4 linked regions of the Cricetulus griseus genome follow. The protein of the gene in region 4 interacts with the protein of the main gene of each other region in a pairwise test. Links are inferred from orthologs where the notes say so. Each region holds a gene or a part of one and is shown on either strand. Other genes may lie near its edges. The genes, in order: Rin1, Ralgds, Raf1 and Rras2.

The links.
Region 1: the proteins of Rras2 (region 4) and Rin1 interact in binary tests that used the Homo sapiens proteins (3 or more experiments, as listed by UniProt). The link is inferred for Cricetulus griseus from reciprocal best matches to the Homo sapiens genes RRAS2 and RIN1.
Region 2: the proteins of Rras2 (region 4) and Ralgds interact in a two-hybrid assay, tested with the Homo sapiens proteins (2 studies listed by BioGRID and IntAct). The link is inferred for Cricetulus griseus from reciprocal best matches to the Homo sapiens genes RRAS2 and RALGDS.
Region 3: the proteins of Rras2 (region 4) and Raf1 interact in a two-hybrid assay, tested with the Homo sapiens proteins (2 studies listed by BioGRID and IntAct). The link is inferred for Cricetulus griseus from reciprocal best matches to the Homo sapiens genes RRAS2 and RAF1.

What each region holds. Positions count from the first base shown.
Region 1 is NC_048596.1:54,234,372-54,239,116, forward strand, and holds the start of Rin1 (ras and Rab interactor 1), read right to left. Parts: upstream 2,913-4,745; 5' UTR 2,910-2,912; coding exon 2,755-2,909; intron 2,608-2,754; coding exon 2,427-2,607; intron 2,328-2,426; coding exon 2,213-2,327; intron 2,125-2,212; coding exon 2,052-2,124; intron 1,962-2,051; coding exon 1,870-1,961; intron 1,738-1,869; coding exon 997-1,737; intron 762-996; coding exon 456-761; intron 159-455; coding exon 1-158. Other genes in the region: Brms1 (breast cancer metastasis-suppressor 1), read right to left, coding at 4,180-4,187, 4,529-4,568. UniProt on the Homo sapiens protein: Ras effector protein, which may serve as an inhibitory modulator of neuronal plasticity in aversive memory formation. Can affect Ras signaling at different levels. First, by competing with RAF1 protein for binding to activated Ras.
Region 2 is NC_048599.1:140,220,028-140,224,813, reverse strand, and holds the start of Ralgds (ral guanine nucleotide dissociation stimulator), read right to left. Parts: upstream 3,316-4,786; 5' UTR 3,301-3,315; coding exon 3,055-3,300; intron 1-3,054. UniProt on the Homo sapiens protein: Functions as a guanine nucleotide exchange factor (GEF) activating either RalA or RalB GTPases and plays an important role in intracellular transport. Interacts and acts as an effector molecule for R-Ras, H-Ras, K-Ras, and Rap.
Region 3 is NC_048601.1:29,167,300-29,171,897, reverse strand, and holds the start of Raf1 (RAF proto-oncogene serine/threonine-protein kinase), read right to left. Parts: upstream 3,055-4,598; 5' UTR 2,768-3,054; intron 1-2,767. UniProt on the Homo sapiens protein: Serine/threonine-protein kinase that acts as a regulatory link between the membrane-associated Ras GTPases and the MAPK/ERK cascade, and this critical regulatory link functions as a switch determining cell fate decisions including proliferation, differentiation, apoptosis, survival and oncogenic transformation.
Region 4 is NC_048596.1:86,550,620-86,555,207, reverse strand, and holds the start of Rras2 (ras-related protein R-Ras2), read right to left. Parts: upstream 2,913-4,588; 5' UTR 2,634-2,912; coding exon 2,526-2,633; intron 1-2,525. UniProt on the Homo sapiens protein: GTP-binding protein with GTPase activity, involved in the regulation of MAPK signaling pathway and thereby controlling multiple cellular processes. Regulates craniofacial development.

The sequences.
Region 1 (4,745 bases), about 32 Mb from region 4:
TGGACAGGAAGTGAGGGTGCCCTCACCCTCTCCGGTGAGCAGGGTAGGTTCCAGTAGCTCCGACATGTACTCAGCTTCTAACAGAAGGTCAGGAAGGTCGCACTGAGCCAAGACAAGGCTCAGCAGAGGCAGGAACTCATCAGCGCCTGCATCCTCCCCTGTGGAAAAATGGGAAGGAAGGCGTTCCAGCCTCCTCAGAGGCCCAAAGGCTAGGGTCTAACCCCTGTTCTAGACAGTGACTCCTCCCACCACCTGCTAGACCCCCTAGACAGGACCGGACTGTCATGGCAACCACAGGGAAGAAAGACACTCCTCTCTCTAGAACCCCTGAGACGGGAGGGTTGGATCCTTCTGCCCTTTTGCAGTTCTGGGGGCCTGGGACCTTCTCCCTGAGAGAGGGGGTTCAGTCTCTACTCAGAAAGAGCTGGAGCAGGGGAAGGTGGTGAGGGTCATACCCGCCTGGGTTTTCAGGGCTGTGTAGAGCAACTTGCAGGCCTGCAGGAGCCACTTGATCTGGGCAGTAGGTGAATAGGTGCCAAGCAACTGAAGCAGTTTCTGGCGCACCTGTTCCGTCTCCACTGGGTAGGAGAGGGGCAGGTGGGACCCGAGGGCTCCAGGTCCCTGGGTCCGGGCCAGGTGGAAGCCCTCAGCTAGGCGGCCAAGGGAACCATCTGCGGAAAGACGCCGCCGCAGGCGGGCAACTAGGATAGGTCGAAGAGGCTTGAGAACAGAGCGATGCAAGGACTTCTCCAGAACCAGTTCTGCCAGAGGAGAGTAGACAGTCAGGGGGAAGGGGCCTGGAAGAGCAGGAGGCCCTGGTCAAGACAGGAGGTAGGAGAGGGGTGGGGCATGGAATTCACTGCAAAAGTAGTGGGGGGAAGTGGGGTGTAAGGAAACCAGGAGTCCATCATTAGGCACCAAGGCAAGGAGAGAGGTGGGTGAGGGAGGGTGGAGAGCCAGGAACTGAACCTGTGGAGGCCAGGGCTGGGGCCTTACCCAGCCTCTCCGGTGGTAGCAGCTTCTCAGGGCCCAGCTCTGCACTCAGCATGGCCCGGGCCCGGCTTAGGGCCTGGCGGATGCCCTGCAACTCCCGGGGCTCCGGACCAGCCCGAACCTGGGTCAGTAGGTCCTGCACTAGCTGACCCACAGCTGTGTATCGGTTCTGCATTAGCGTTGTGGCTGCCCGGCCCACCTGCCTCTCCGGTGCCAGCAGAGAGCAGAAAGCAGAACTCATGGACCGAAGCAAAGGCGGCCGCTGCCTTGGGCGGCCCAGGCGCGGGGAGGTGGTAGGGCTTCGGGGAGAACCCTCCTCCTCTGAGCTGCTGGGGGAGCAGCAGTCGGCCTCCTGAAGTGAAGGTAGGGGAGGAAGACTCTGGCCGGAAGCACTCCCTGGCACCCGATACCCCATTGAACTCTCCCTCTCCAGCAGCTGTCGAGGAGGCAATCTTGCTGTTTGGCTGGAAGAAGTCCCTGGCAGCACTGGGACTGGGGGAGGCGGCACAGCAGGTGGAGACAGAGGGCTGGAGGTCTCTGTGGACACACGCACTTTAAAACTCCTCTTGAATTTCTCTCGTTTGGTGGGGCCCAGATCCCCTGGGAAGAGGGGGTTGAAGAAGCAGAGGGCTGCACCAGTGCCCTGATCCAGCTCTTGAGGGGAGCGAGCCTTCAGCCTGGGTATCGGTGGGGCTTCACAAGGCCTCTGCTGAACCTTGGTGTTAAGGGAGGAACTCCAGAACTCTGGCAAAAAGAAACCAATGGGAGCCTCAGAGCTGGCTCTGGAGGGTGCCCACAAAGAAAGAACTTGGTTGCCCTTTCTTCCCCATTTGGTCTATGTTTCCGTCTGTACAATGGGCTGCAAGGAACGCTTACCCATGCCCAAATGGGAGATCGCCTCCAGCTCCTTGTGGGTGGTTGCCTGATGAATGGCTCTGGGGAGCCGGAGTGGGAGGAGAAGAATGTCCCTAAGGTCATAACAAGGAGCAGTCAAGAGCAAGTGGTATTCAGGTGCAGGGCGTGTGGTCATCAGGTACCCGGCAGGTAGGCAGACTCACCTGGTATGGCAGTATGCACAGATGAGCTGAACCAGGTCCTGGAATACGAGCTCTGAACCCTCCAAAGAGATGCCTGAGAGACACTGGGAGTGAGGCTGTTCTCTGGGGACCTCCCTCCCCAGCCTGTCTCCAGCCCCTTCCCGCCAGGCCAGCCCCCTCACCACCAGGGCTCTCTTGGATATAGTGGCTGGAGACAAAAGAGGGGCCACTGGCTTCTGGCAGCCGCACACACAGAGCCCGGCACTGGCGAGTGTTAGATTTCCGTACCAGGAAGGTCTGCAAGTGAATAGGATTAGGAGGCTCAATGCCTCCATGTCCAGGCCCTTTCTCTCCCACCCTTGGTGAGCCAGTCCTGGAGGAAGGGAAAAGACTCACCCCTGGAGGCTCTGTCCTCAACACGTGTAGTGCGGCTGCAGCGTTGGCCCGCAACTGTAACCACACCGGCCGGGTGATGAGCAGCCGTTCCCGCAGACTCACGGTGCGTGCTGGTTGTTGGGCCCCGCCTGCCTGTGCCCTGCTGGCGTCAGGCGTGTCATACAGAGGGTCTGGAGATGGACTGGGGGCAGACACGCAGACCTGAGCAGGGGTCTGGGCAAGCACCTCTTCCCCGTCCTGGGCTTCCCACCTATCCATCTGTCTTTGCCAGACCTTCCTGTCACTGCCCTCACCCCCTGCACCCAGTTGCCCTCCCAACTTCACTAACTTTTCTTTCTGTTGGTGCCCAGGAACAAAGTTTAGGTTGGCAGTTCCCAAAGGGTGTGCTTCTGTATCCCCAGGGTCTTCCATGGCTAGGAGCTCCTTCAGCTTCTCCTGGGACTCAGGAAGAGAATCCAACCCCCAAGGCACAGGCGGGCACATTCCTAGCGGTGAGTAACACTTCCTGAAGGCGGTTCACCCTGTCACGCCCCGCCAGTTAACTCTTGTATGTCCACTCCATGTGGCCAGTGTCCACTTCTATTCTGGGCCCAGCCTTGAATGGCAGGGGCCCCCTTTATGTTAGTGTCACTATTAGGGCCTCAGCTGTGGGAGGACCACCTCCACACAGCGTTTCCTCATATAGAACCTCACACTATGCAGCTGGGTAGGGAGGAGTTAAACAGGGCAGACCAAGTTCCCACAGGCCCAAGTCTCACCCCTGTGTCACCTCAAGAAGTCTGTGGTCACTTGCTCATCTGCTTCTGCCTTGGAGGGGGTCACCCTTGTGGGAGAGCACCCCCTACTGGTCACAGATGACTCATTCCTGAACCTAACTTGGGTTTTGTGATTTCAGGTTGCTATGGAGAAAGGATGCTGTGTCTCCATGGAAACTAAACCCTTTGCTTAACTGAGGTTCTGGGGGTGGTTCTGACACTCATGCTAACCAGGGGAGAGTGTGGCTGTGAGGTTGTCAGCACATGGTGCTGCTGCTAGCTGCCTCCCACACACAGGCCCTGCCAGCCTGCCTGCCAATCTGCCAAGTGACTGGGGCAGGTGCAGACATGACCTGGCCTCCAGGCATGCCTTCATCCAAGGCCATGTGCTTCATTTGTTTGCCTGGGCCACACCACGTGTAGACTCCAGCTCTGGGCCCAGGCTCGTTTCTAAGTCACAATGTTCTGAACAACAGGGACCCCAGAAGAGTCTGTCCCAGGTGTTCCCCATAAAGCCTTGATTCCTTTTAAGAGAACAGCAGACACACACTGGTCAAGGTCCAAGGATGAGTTTTATTCCAGTCTTTAGAATCTGGGAGGCAGACACCAGGAATGGCCCTGAGAAAGTCTGGGAAGATGCCATCTCCAGCGATAGCTAGGAGGGGCAAGACCCCAACATGTTTCTGGCTCAAGAGTTCCCCAGCTCCTGGCTCAGTGGGGAGGGCTGCTGCTGTCATATGAAGCCTATCTTTATTGGGGGGACAATAAAGGAAGTTACTCTTGGGGGGGGGGCAGGAACGGAGTCTTGCTTGGCCAGGTCAGCTTCAGGGTCACGGCTATGCAGATCCCAAGGAGAGCAGAGGAGCCCAGGCCAGTGTTGGTCAGGGGACAGCAGTAACACTGGAGGACTACCAGGCAACCCCCTGCCTTTGCAGAAAAATGTTAGTCCTGTGTGTGGTGCCAGCTGCTCCAAGGACCCTCTGAGTGGAAATGCAGTGTCAGGGTCCTAGGGGCAATGGGAAAATCACTACAAGGAAGGTGAATCAAAGAGAACAACCACTGCCTGAGGCCCTGGGGAAACACCATACTCCCCTCACCCACAGGGCTTCCTTTCCCTGCCCTCTGACCCACCCTGCTGCGGGCCAGCTCCAGTCCACCTTTATCTCTCTGTGGTGCTGAACTTGGGACCAGAGGCTTACCCATGCTAGGCAAGCACTCTACCACTGGGCCCTCCATTTTACCTTTACAAGTCCTTGCCAATCTGGTTCCTATTCCCCAAACTCCCACAAAATCCTCAAAGTGAGATCAAGCTATGGATTCTGACAGGGCCACCTCTTTGGTTCTTACCATCTGGTTTTCTCTTCTGAGGAGACACTGCTGCCCTGGCCTGGGTGTAGAGAAGACAGGGGCCTTTAGAGTCTACTTTAACTTGTTGACACTGCCCCCTCTACACCAAGGGTGAAAGCTGCTGAGTCAAATTGCATGAAATATAAAAAACTCCCTACACCAAGCTCTCTCAGGGGCAGCTTTTCTCTTGTTCATCAAAACTGTCTGGATTGGCCGG
Region 2 (4,786 bases), on a different chromosome or scaffold from region 4:
CCCCGTCACACAGATGGAAACTGCTCCATGAACTCCATTTCCATCAAGCAACCACAGCACAAGTGAACCAGACCACCTTACAATGCTGAGTGTGGGTACATTTGCACCAGATACTCAGAGGAGATGCCTCAGGCCTGGTTAGAAGGCAGCATAGAAGAGGCTCCCCCCCCCACCTCCTGCCCCTAAGGATCTGCCCTCAGGTCCCTCTGAGGCTGGAAAGGCAGGGACCAAGTACCCTAAGGCCACATTGGACTACCTTTGTGGCACACAGCCCATGCGGGCAGCAGCAGGGACTCAGGGTCTCACACGTGAACTTCCCTCTCCCGCCACACAACACTGGATTTTAGCCCAAGGCACCCAGTACAGTGCCAGTTTGCAACAGGTTTTTATTGGTACTCAATGGACAGAAATGTGCCCTGAGTGGCCAGGCAAACCCACAGGAGGGGCTGGATGCAAGCAGTGTAGCAGCCTGAGCAGGGCTCAAAAGCAAGCCCTTTCTCAGCCCTGGGCTTGGGCTGACAGCCCAGCAGCTGGCCTGGGCCCTGTGGGAATGTCATGTGAGCCCTGCACCCTTCCCTCATCTGAGGGGGGTATTCTGTCAGCTGGGTTGGGGGGGGTGCTAACAGGCACTGAGAGCCATACAGGCCTTCCTCTAGGAAGTCAGCACCCCGTCACACAGATGGAAACTGCTCCATGAACTCCATTTCCATCAAGCAACCACAGCACAAGTGAACCAGACCACCTTACAATGCTGAGTGTGGGTACATTTGCACCAGATACTCAGAGGAGATGCCTCAGGCCTGGTTAGAAGGCAGCATAGAAGAGGCTCCCCCCCCCACCTCCTGCCCCTAAGGATCTGCCCTCAGGTCCCTCTGAGGCTGGAAAGGCAGGGACCAAGTACCCTAAGGCCACATTGGACTACCTTTGTGGCACACAGCCCATGCGGGCAGCACCATGCTCCCAGGAAATCTCAAGCAGACCAGGGAGAAGAGGGGGTAGGCTGCCTAGTGAACAGCTGACACAGCAAAAGTGTCTGCCTGCTCATCTGCCTGGGGCAGGCATCCAGGATGCCTTCAAGTGCCAAGGGAGGAATGCCACATGGTTGGCTGTGTCCGTAGGAAGGATCACCCCCCTCCCCCCAACTACAGCATGTGCAAGGCCTCGGGGCCCTGGGATGAAGTTGGCAGCTGTGTCTAACACACTTGGGTCAATCACTTGGGGGTGACAGTGTCCCTGGGGATCCTGTGAGCACTCCCCGCACCGGCCCCCTGCCATCCCTAGCACTGTCTCTTAAGCATAACCAGAACTCTCAGAATGAGGCGAGAAAACATGACCTGGGTAGCATCACCTGATCAATGTTCTCAGGCCAGCAGGATGCATGTCCCCAGCTAAAAGAGAATGAGCCGCAGGCCAAGCCCAGAACAGTAAGTAGTAAGGGGCCCAATGGGGACTCCAGGCCTGCCACCTCTCCCTGTAGAGCGCTGGATAGTGGTGGTGGAGTGTCGAGTCAGACATTGGCTGTTTCTGTTTCACAGGAGGCCTTGGCAGACATGGTAGATTTCAGAGCACAAGACCACAGCTTCCTTCTACATGTGAAGAGGCTCCGTCTACTTGGTGGTGTAGGTGGACTCTCAACCTTGAGGGTGACTTCTAAACCTGCCCATACTACTGCCCAGTGCCACTGGGTCACTAGATCACTCTAGCAGGCCCCTTGCAGGCACCCTATAGCTCTGGACACACAGGGCCCATAGGACCATATTTCAGGAAGGGTCTTAACCCCCAGCTTGGCTCAGTAACCTAGACATGAGCTGGGAGAAGAGCAACGGCTAACAGGTGGCAGGGCTGGGGCTGTAGCTGAGTAAGGGTAGCAGACAACACCCAGCTGATGATATATGAGAGCCATACCTATCAGAGGCCCACCTGGAACTACTAGACCCAAATGGCAGCTCACTCAAGAGTTCTAGACCTTGAATGAAGCTTCCAGAAGAGGGAGAGAGCAGTCTGTATGCTGGTTACCAACCTTAGGCTGCTCCTCTCCAAAGTGGGGAAGCACACTCCCCATTTCAGAAGTAGAAACCAGAGCCTAAGGCGGGGCCAGAGAGACAGTGTCCAGGACTCCTCAAGGCCAGGCCCTGGTTAGACCATGAGCCCCAGTAGAGAAGGGAAAATGAAAACGCCAACCATTAGAGTCCTCTATCCAAGCTCCAGCACTGGGTGGATATCCTAGATGCTAAGGCCTCACAGCAGCTCTAGGTACTCCCCAAGCCCACAGCCCACAGAGGCCGCCTCAGCTGGAACTATGCAAGGTGCCTGGTTGCCATGGCAGCACTGGAGCACCAAGACCTAGGAAAGTAAAGTCTTGGGCTCAGTCTGTGCATAGCTTTCAACAGAGTGAGATTCAGGTCCCCAGGAACCCTCCCTGTCAGCCTGAGTCCAACTACTGGCCAAGTTAGCATTTTTTAAAAAAGATTTTATTTATTATTATGTATACAGTGTTCTACCTGCATGCTAGTCAGAAGAGGGCACCAGGTCTCATTTTAGATGGCTGTGAGCCACTATGCGGTTGCTGGGAATTGAACTCAAGACCTCTAGAAGAGCAGTCAGTGCTCTTAACCTCTGAACCATCTCTCCAGTCCCCAAGTTAGCATTTTAGGAATGAAAACTGAGCTCAAACGGGGGAGGAAACACCTATCCCTTTAGCCTAGTAAACCCATAACTTGTATACCCAGTCCTGCTGCCCATTTGCTACTGGGCTCTTATCATAAAATGACCACTGCTGGGCAGGCCTGGGAGGGGGCATGGCCTGGTCCTCACAAGGCATAAGCAGGTCCAGTTAAAGGTTCAGACCCACACCACTGACCATGAATATGCCATCCAGCTTACTCAGGCATTTCTTGTACCAGGTCCTTTGTATACTTCATGCAAGTGACTCTCCCAGTATGCTGCCTGGCAGATGAGGGCACAGCCAGGTAGGGCCAGGTGGAGGCTTACTCAGGTAGAGCCAGGAAACAGCAGCCAGGACAAGAATTTGGTCCCAGGCCTGGAGGGACATACCCGGATCTGGCTGTTGCTTCTACCAGAGGCCCAACGCCAGGGCAGGGTCCAGCCTTGGTCACACAGATGCAGGGCAGGAGCTAGAGACAGAAATGACTTCCTCAGGCTACACAGCAAGTGGGAAAGTAGCCAGGCCAGTGGTTTCACACCTGCACCTCTGAGCAAAGGCTTAAGGACATGTCCTGGGGAAAATGCCTGTGATGCCACGCTGAGGCCACATGTCCTAGGAGACCAGAGTCCAGACATTCAGGAGGCTTGGGCTTTGTCACCTAGTCAGGAAAACTAGTTGTGGCCACTTTCAGGCTCTGTAGATGGCACTTGTTAGGCTGTTGGTCTCACTTGGTCCATTCCAGAACTCAAAGAATAATTAGCTGGGCAGTGGTGGCGCACACCTTTAATCCCAGCACTCGGGAGGCAGAGGCAGGCAGATCTCTGTGAGTTCGAAACCAGCCTGATCTACAAGAGGTAGTTCCATGATAGGCTCCAAAGCCACAGAGAAACCCTGTCTCAACCGCCCCCCCCCAGAGTAATTAGCATTACGCCCATTTTACAGATGAAGAAACTCCGAGGCTCACAGGAGCCAAGCTGGCATTCCAGCACAGCTGCCTTCCCCACAGAGCTAGGTTATACACCTCCAGGTTCAAAAGGACAGAACACTTGCAGGTGTGACTGTAGGATAACAGTGGCAGGCAGAGGCATCAAAGGAGGGGAGACTGCCAACAGAATGCCCATGGCTCAGCAGTTCTGGTCCCTGTGCCCTGCTCAGTGAGCAGCCCCTCAGGTTGTCCTTTCTCCAGAGAACTGAGTTTGTTAGGGGCCTCAGCTCCTGTATCAGGAAGCAACCAATCTCAATCTCTCACTCTCACTGGGCTGTGGAGACTGAGCTTCCTAGGGTGTAGGCCTGTTAACATAGCACTTGTGAGCACATCCAAAGCCCAACCCCCAGGGCAGGTGTCAAACTGAGACCCTTAGGAGTGCAGCCTTTTGGAACCCCCTCCACAACCCACAGGCCTGAAAACTGTCTGGCCACCCCACTTAGAATCAGCCTGTTCTTGCCCTGCTAGCAATCCGGTTCCTCCTGCTCTAGAGCTGCCCTGAGGCTCCCAGGAAATGGGCCAGCAGGTCTCTCTCAGTGTTCCAGACTGGAGACAGAGGACCAGTACCAGCCATCTGGGCCTCCTCAACCTTTTCCTCTGTACCTCTGAGAAAAGCAACAGTGGGACAACAGGGTCCTGGAGTCCTAGCAGTGATGGCCAGACTCCCCAGACTCCCCCCCCCCCCCAAGAATATAACAGGCCCTAAAGTTCCTGGAGGCTGCCCTTTTACAGTCAGCCAGGAAGTCCCTCTGAAAGATTATCTTGTGTACATACACACACACACACACACACACACACACACACACACACAGCCCTCTATGTCCCAGTGTCAAGGGAACAAAAGAACCTTGGGATAAGCTAAGAGCTGCACACAGTGTGATCAAGAGACCAGACAGCCCAGAGGGAGAAGCCCCCGCTTCACTGTTGCCAACCCACGCAGCCTTCAGGCTTCATAGGCTAGCTGCCAAGGTGAGAAGCTGGCCTGGCCTCTGCCTCTGCAGTTGACCAGCTTATTGACTCTGTGCAATCTAATTAGTTGTTTCATCTGTCAAATGGGTTATTAATAGCCTGACCGGCCCCTCTTCCCCAAAGGACAAAATGCATACAAATTATTTAGTTGAGGTCCTTCCACAAAG
Region 3 (4,598 bases), on a different chromosome or scaffold from region 4:
GGCAGAGGCAGGGGGGATCTCTGTGAGTTCAAAGCAAACCTGGGCTACTACATATTGAGATCAAACCATACAGGGGCTACACATTGAAACCCTGCTTTAAAAAAAAAAAAAAAAAAAAAAAAAAAAAGCAAAAAACAAAAAGAACCCAATATTCCTGATTTTACAGGTCTATATACAACTTTAGAAAAACAACACAACAAAATTTGAGTCAAAGCTTGGTTTTATGGTTTCATAAATCCCTCACTGTTCCATTTGTTCACTGTCGTTCAGAGACAGCATTTAATTCTCTTCTGCAAGTCAACATTAAGGTATGCTGTTTAGCTAACAAGCTCCTCCCAAGATCAGGGTTATCACTATTACACCTAACAGGCAAACCAAAGCATTCGCTCACGGAATATTGTTTTCTATTTTTAGATAGTAGGTAGACTAACCAAATTTTGTCTGAAATTTAAACATTAAGTAATCATACATTTACTAATATAGACTTCCTAAAAGAGCAATTTGAAGTTAGTCATTATATTTACATTAAAAATTTAGTGCTTCTGCAAATGTCAAATTAACTTCCAAAAGATGTGAAGTTGTTTAATCTTCAGAGCAAAAGTGATTTGAGGCTAAAGCAACTGGGTTCAGAGTAGTTGTAATACAGTAGCATTCTTATTTTTTGCATACTTTCTGTCATAAACGAAAGGTTTTAATATGGTTCTCAGTCTTTTTTCTACCAGGCCAAATGTCTTCAAATGTGTTCAAAAGCCTTTCAGTCAAGCCTCCTACTTCACAGGCACACAAGGTCTTTTCAACTATTCACAGGACCTTAACAAAGCTGCCTGACCCCACTTCAGGGCACAGTCACAGCCCTGCAGACCTGATGATAAGCCTTCAGAACAGAAACATCAGCAGGTTTATTTTTCCAAGTATCCAGAGCTCAGCTAGGTCAAATGTTGCTGTTGGATTTTAAACAGCTTACTTAGCCCTTGAAGTGATAAGAGTAAAAACAAGTCCAAAGAATCTGGTTTTCAGTGGTACACAACACCAAAGATTTTGAAACTGCCCTGAAAACTCTTCACATCTGAGTAGCCACTTCACCATAAGCCTTAATCGAAGTGACTATTTAAAAATAATGATCATTGGGCCAGAGACCTGGGGACTTAATCCAAAGAAAACAGTGTACTGTACAAATAGTGTTAATTAAAAACACTTTCATGCTACACTTTTTTCAGGTGCTTTGCATAATCTGCCAATTTCTGTAGTTTAGGGAACATGTTTTACATTGTCAGCAGAGATTTAAAACTCAGAGTTAGTAAAGAATACTACGTTTATGAAGTCAACATTTTTGCATGCATGTATAACCTTAGAAAAACCTTCGAGAATATCTCGGAATAGGAATCCAATTCATTAACCAATGAACGGGCAAGAAACAGTTAGTATCCATTACCAAAACTGGTTTACTTTAGACTTAAAGTAAATCTTTTCAATTTTATCATCTTCACTACCATTGGGGGAGGGAGCAAAGCAGGCACCAGCCAGAGTTAAAAATTAGCAACATCGAGTTAATTAATCCAAACTAAATGAACTAGTTCGTCACCATCCATTCATTACACAGACCCTTCAGAAGCTATCAACTTTTCTTTTGGACCCTGATGTCGCACTATCTCCTTCCTGCACCCCACATTTACTAGCTGCTCCCCGAACTCATCCCAACTCCTGTAGGCCATGCCTCATTCAGTGCCTTGGTGCCAGCTGTTCCCTCTGCTGACAATGCCCTCCCCGCTGCCTCACCTGGCGATCAAGGTCCTTCCAAACTCCGCGAGAAGCAAGCGAGGAACCTCGGGGCTTGTCTACTCCCCAAAGCGCATTTAAACTGTTCTAAATCCCAAGAACAGTTGAGAAACCAACCCTTATCACCGCTCATTGTTTTCACGCCCCGGGAGCCAGAGCACCGAGGGCAGAGTCTTCACAGACCCCACAGGACGCAATGCAGGCATCCAGACGTGCCCTGAATTTATCTATTCCCTACTTCTTTACACAGACCCGACGCCCCCCCTCCCCAGGTCCCAGTCGTGTCTCAACACGGAGAGAGGAGATCCCACCGTCCCCGTCATTGCCCCCCCCGCCCCCCCAACAAAGAATGAAAACCAGAGGCACACCCTGGGCCCTGGAGAGAGAACAATGAATGAACGAACACCGACTCGCCTCCGGTGATGTCCCAACTCCTCTTTCTGCATCCACTGGCTCCGCAGAGCCTGGACGGCTTGTCGCTTCACACAAAAGGCACCCCCGACTCCCGATCTCGAGCATCCCGGGCCTCACATTAGGAAGCCCCCGGGCGAGGTCCCCACGCCTTAGTGGCGGGGCACTGACCCGTTTTTCTCGCTGCCTTCCTCGATTCCCTCGTCTTCCCTAAAAGGGTGTCACTTGAGCGAAGCAGCCCGAGAGGAGGTGCAAGGCCGGGCTCCCCCCACTTACTTATGCAGCCCGAGAGAAAAAAAGGAACGAGCCCATCCCAGTGACAACACAGGCACCGAGCAGCTCTGGGCGGACTTGTTTTTTTTTTCTTTTTTCTTTTACCCCATTGCCAAAATATGAGGAATGCGCGCTGGGCACCGGGGTGGCGCTGGCACGTTTCCGAGAAACACTGGGAAATCTGAGCAGGGGTGTGGAAACTGGCTCGCCGGCCATGACACTCGGCCCGCGCCCGGCCCGCCACCCGGGTGACAGCGGCCTGGCGGACCCTTCGCCCCGCAGCCGCGCCGTCAACCCCGCGGCCTACCTGAGGGAGCCGGGCCACGCCGGGTCCCGTCGTGCGGCGGCGGCGGCGGCGGCGGTGGTTGAGTGAACGGGATGCGGTCACATTCGGCGCGTCCCCAAGCCGGGGGACGGGGCCCCGGGCAGGCCCCGCATCGCTGCACTAGAGCCCCGCGCCTCAGGGCACGCGCCCCAAAGCCCGGCCAGCTGGCCCCGTCCGAGGGCCCGCGGAGAGCGGCAGAGAAGCCTTCCCGCCTCAAGCTCGCTCGGTTCTAACTCCCGCCATCTAAGATGGCGGCGCAAGCACCCGCAATGAAGACGCTCTCCGGCCGCCCCGGCGAGCGAGCCCTGCGCTCGACGCTCGTCTTCGCGACCTGCGGCGCCGCGGGCTCACCGCCTCTGCGCGAGCTCCGGAGCTCGGCCGTCCGTTTGAAACTTGGCTCGGGGATCTATCTCTCGGGCCTGGAAGCCGGCCCCGCCTCCTCCGGGGGCGTGGGCTCGCGATGCCGCGGCCGCCATTTCGGGCTTGACAGTGGCGTGCCTGAGTGAGTGCGTCAGGCCCGAGGCCAGCGGGCGGGCGAGCGGGCGAGCGGGCGGCCGTGGGTGCAGCCCGGGTCGGGCCACCCGCGAGGCAGTGGGGGAGCCCGTCTGTGGCGCTTCCTCTCTGAAGTTGGCATCCACGGAGAACGGCGGTTTAGGGGTGCTTTAGGAAAGCCCTCCTACTATTAATATTAAGCCTGGGGTTCCTCGTTTGTAAATGAAGGTTTTACTGGTTGACCAAAAGCTAAAAGTATGGTGGTGTTACACATCTGTAATCCCAGCGTTTGGGAAGTGAAGGCAAGAGAATCAGGAGTTCACGGCCCTGCTGGGCTTCGTGAGACCCTGTCTCAAAAAAAAAAAAAAAAAAAAATTTTAATTGTCAAGCCAATACGGCCCACCGTGAACTGAATCCTGTGGTGCGCCTTCGTACAGCCCTGGTGGAGTAGACACCTGGCGGGCAATTTGATACCGTCAACGTTTTTTTTTTTTATTTTTTGTCTTTGAAATAGAGACTTAATTCGGGGCTGGTCTTCGCCTCTTTTGTAACTATTGTCATAGCCATTTTGGGACCCGCAAAGTGGCTCAGAGAGTAAAAAGTTTGCAGAGTATATAAAACCTGATGACCTGAGAGATCAGTCCTCTCATCCCCATTATGGAAGGAGAAAACAGACTCCTGAAAAGTTATCTTCTGACCTCGATGGTACGTGTGCAGCCTGCAACCGCACTTACAAACACACATACAGTTTTTTTTTAAGTAACCATTTCTAAGTAAACATCTATTGGCATTTAGTACATTCACGGTGTTGTGTAACCGCAACTTTAGTTGCAAAACATTTCCATCACTCTGAAATAAAACTATCCACTTAAGTAGTTTCTCACTAGCTTCCCACCCAGGGGCAATCACCAATATTCATTTTGCTGCTGCAGACTTAACGTTTTCTAGATTATCTTGCATGTGTGGATATTTCTAGGGTGTGAGGCCTTTTATGACTTATGTTTTTCACTTAGCCTGTTTCCAAGTCCATCATCTGTATTACTTGTGTGCTGATACTTCATTTCTCTTTAGGGCTAAACTACTCCATCATAAGCTTACACCAGATTTTCTATATCTGAGATAACCATAGATACTAGGCTCATCCCATCCTTTGGCCAGTGGTTTACTTTTCTGGTTTCTGTGACAAAACACTGGACAAATTACAAGGTAGAAAGAAAGGCCTGATGAGATGGTTAAGTGGTTAGAGCACCAGCTACTCTTGCAAAGGACTCAGGTTCAATTCTCAGCACCCTCATGGTGGTCACAACCACCCATAAAGTCC
Region 4 (4,588 bases):
AATAATAGTTTTAAAGGGATATGACCAACGGTACAAGACTGCCAAGATTCTGGGTTTGATCCCTAGCACCTGGTGAGAGAACTGTAGGTGGAGGTGGGGAGAGAACAGAAATTGGAAGGTTATCTATATATGCATGTCCCTTTTTTAAGAGGGTGGGGAATTATGAGTCTGTTATGTATGTTTACAAGTCCATATGGTGTGTTTATATGTGTGTGTAACTATAGATGATAAATTGTGACTTTAGTTCCATAATCTAAGGTTAACAGAGTAATGGATATAGCCTTTCTATAAAGTGCACATTGTCCAAAGCCCTGGATATGTTAATTCATTTGACTTTCACGGCTGTATAACTTTATTACCCCAGCTTACAGATGACTGAAAACCAAAGGACAGACAGGTTAAGTAACTTACATCATGCTTGGAGGAGTGGCAGAGTCTCTACACAGGTGCTGTGCTTCCTTCCTCCTCACCAAGTCAACCTCATAGGCTATGTTCCTGTTTCATGAGCACCAAATGCCCCAAGTCACACATGCCTCTCCCACTCCCAGCTCCCCACACCTCTGCCCCCACTTTCCAGTCTGGCCTGTGACTCCTCACTCTCATCACATTTCCACTCACACTCCAATGAGACGACACGGTGCTCTTTTTTAAGGCACTAGGACTTCCCACACAAGACAAACCACTCTATACTGAGCTACCTCCCCAGCCCCACAGTGCATTTTTTTAAAAGATTTATTTATTTAATGCACATTGGGGTTTTGCCTGCATGTATGTCTGTGTGAGGGTGTCAGATCCCCGGAACTGGAGTTAGACAGTTGTAAATTGCCATGTGGGTGCTGGGAATTGAACCCTGGTCCTTTGGAAGAGCAGCCAGCTTATAACCGTTGAGCCACCTCTCCAGCCCCCACAGCTCATTTTTTTAAAGCCTTCCCACATTGACGTTTTCAAACCTGAATTCCCTTTGCATCTAAACATCTCTAACACAGAAACGGCTGTCAACAGAGTATACACTGCATGAAGCAATCACATTCAGATAGTCCCTCCCTCAAAAACGTAAATGCTTCTGATTTATGTCTTCTAAGCAATACTATCCATCAGTTCTGGAACCCAGGACTGGCCTCTGATTTCTGGACCCTTCCAACATCAGCCACAGACAGTTCGCTGTGACCTGTTTTGCTATGTCAGTCACTTAGATGACTCTCTTGGCCTCAGGCAAATAGCAACTTGCCAAAAAGCCTGACTGAAGTCGGGTTTTAAACTTAAACCAATCTCACTTCTCAACGGCCTGACACCACCACCACCTCGGAGCATACTGTCACCGTTCATGACATAAACACCCTCTCTGAATACAAAGGTTTGAGCAGCACTTTTTAATCCCAAGGAATATCACAGGAGCGATTATTGTGCATTCACTCGATGTGAAAGCTGACAAACACTTAGGTTATGGAACTGTGCGTCTTAATAACACTATAAACGTCACAGTTTATAATGAAACAAAATAAGCTATTCAACTCTATCAATTCAACAAATGGGTGAAACAGGAAAAAAAAATGCCACCCGTACTCTTTGACACAGAAAAAAACTACCTTTGTTACTTAGCAGGGTACCTGTGCTCTCCCAACATATGCCACGCCTTTCAGGATGACAAAAGCAAAGAGATCTACGGTTGCTTTTTTAAAAAAGCAAAAAGAAAAAGAAAAATCACTCGGACCTCTTAACCAAGAATACAGTCTAAGGATGAATTTCACCTTCCTTTTCTTTGACACAACCCGACTTTCCTCCTCCAGCAACCAGGAAAAAAGGAGGGAGGGGGAGCTGCAACACAGAACTCACTCTCTCCTAGCTGGGCTCATCCCAAACTTCACCTAAGCGCGAAGCAGGCAGGCACCGGGAATTCCGAGGAAATGGTCTCGCCCCAATCAAAGCACATTTTTAACTTCCTCGAAACCATTATTTCCCTGGGGCACGATCAAACACTCCCACCCGGACGTACCACCTAAGAGACTACTTGTAAGAGAAGCTCAAACACACACAAAGAGAAAACACTGTTGGGAGCCGGCGGCGCGGAGCCGCGACCAAGCAGTCCGGGTCACCAGGACCACCTAGACCACCGAGGCATGCTCAGGGTTCCCGCTCCGGCCCTCGGGGCAGGAAGCCCGGCTCCGCCAGGCGGCTGCTCTCCGCGGGATCCCGCCCCGACCGCAGAGATAAGGTGGAACTGTGCTTCCCACCCGGGCAGCTCCGCCCTCCGGGCCACATTCCTGAGAAGCCCGAGTCCCCGGACGCCGCGCCGGGCGCCTGGCGGGCAGCAGCGCGGCGCCGTGGCCGCAGGGCAGGAGAGCAGCGCCGACTCCTCACTCACAGTTCCTGCCTGCCCTCGCAGCCGCGCGCCCTGGCCCCGCGCAAACCGCACCCGCGCGCACCGCACGCGCCGGAGCCCCACACCCGCGCGCCCCGGGCGGGGTCGCCACGGCCACAGGTAGCGCCACCCCGCCGCCGCCACCCCGCAGGCCCGCTCCAGACACCTGGATGAACTGGATGGTGAGCGCCGACTTGCCCACGCCGCCGCCGCCGACCACCACGAGCCGGTACTTCTCCTGGCCGGAGCCGTCGCGCCAGCCGGCCGCGGCCATCGGGACGCCCGAGCCCAGCCCGGCCGCCGCGCGCCCTAGGCCCGGCTCCGGGGACGAGTGCGGCCGGCTGGGCTACAGGCGGTAGGGCGCGCGGGGTCCGTGAGTGGCCTGGAGGGCCACGGGGCGTTATCCCCCGGAAAGGCTGGGAGTTGCCCGAGACACTGGGAAGCCGGGAAGGCGCCGGGGCAGAGGACGCAGCGACCAGGGAGCGCGCTCCTCTCCGCGTCTCTGCAGCGCAGCCGAACGCAGCCTCCAGCACCGCTACAAATGGCCGTCTGGGGGCCGGGCCGCCGGGCTTGGGTGCTACATATGCATGAGGAGGCGGGGCCAGACCCGCCCGCCCTGGCTGAAGGTCCTGAGCGCTCTGGGCTACAGACCCCGCGGACCTGCCCCCTAGAGCACTCTAAGGCAGAGAGCGAAGAAACCGGGAAGACTGATGGCAGTAACAGTAATTGCAGAAGTCAGGGATCGTGCTCATGAAAGAAACAGCCTGTGACGGTGTGGATGAAAAATAGAACTGTTATCGTATTCACTCAACTCTGTACCCTGTTTTCAGAATGCAGATGCTCTGTATTTGTTTTAAAATAAAAAGTATAAGGCAGTGATTGAGGAAGATGAGAGCTGTCGAGATTACTAAACGTGTGATGGATGGACTAATATAGTAGCAATGAGAGTAGATGGGGAGTGATTGTGCTTGTATGGGGCCACAGTACATGTCGACAGATGCGGGGTGCAAATCTCCGTTCCTGTTTATGTGTGAGAAATGTGTGGTAACTGAATATGAGAGTCGTGAGAAATTTGCAGGCAGTGACATGCCAGGACAATGTTCTTTTCCAACACAGCTTCTATGCACATGATCATGTCCTTGCTCTCAGAGTCCAATGCGGGAGGCAGCTAGGACAATAGGCACCTTGTGAGACAAGATGATAAGGACAACTGCACAGCACTGAGGTCCAAGGTGCACTCACCCCAGAGCTGTCCAGTCAGAGGTTTTCTGAAAGACCTGATGAATAAGCTTGTAAATAGATGTGTGATTGGAAAGAAAACCATGCTGGGCTGCACGTGGTAGCCCTTGCCTTTAGTCCCAATATTCTGGAAGCAGGAGCAGACAGATCTCTGTAAGCCCGAAGAATTCCAGGCCAGCCTGATCTATGCAGTGATTTCCACGCTAGAGCTACACAATGAAACCTGGTCTGAAAAGAAATGAAGAATGAGAGAAAGAAAAGAAAACCAGATGTGCAGGCATGCAGAAGTCAGGGCTGACAAGGAACACTTCTGTTGTGTGGTTTTGAGTGTGCTGAAGGGAGTTTACAGGCTACCAATTATAAATAGAAATTCACTGCATGTGTGTCAGCTAAGTAGGTAGGAATATACCTCTCTGTAGAGGCAGTGTAAGGTTAAGGCTATGATTCTCAGCCTGTAGGTCTCGACCCCATTCACAGGGGTTGCCTAAGACCGTCTGCGTATCTATTGGATGCTTACACTATGGTTCATAACAGCAGCAAAATTACAGTTATGAAGTAGCAACAAAAATAATTTTATGGCTGGAGGTCACCACAGCATGAAGAATTGCAATAAATAGTCACAGCACTAGGGAGGTTGAGAACCACTGGGTCACATTCTCAGAGAGTAGACTGGATCAAATCCCTTCTCTTCTCCAAATGGCATGGTGGTAGGAACTTAACCTCTGTGCCTCAGCTTCCTCTTCTCTCAATTAAGAGCACTGAGCCAGTGGACAGTTCAGAGAAGAACAGCACAAGCCTGGCAACCAAGTCTCTGAAACCCACAATAGAAGGAGGGAACCAACTCCCAAAAGTTGTTCTCTGCCCTCCACATGTGTGCCATGGCAGGTACTCACCTTCACTCACATACATACATCATACACATGTATACAAAAGCTTGCAGGATATAAAACATTGCTGGTGTGGGGTAAACATGGTGGTTTTTACAATATG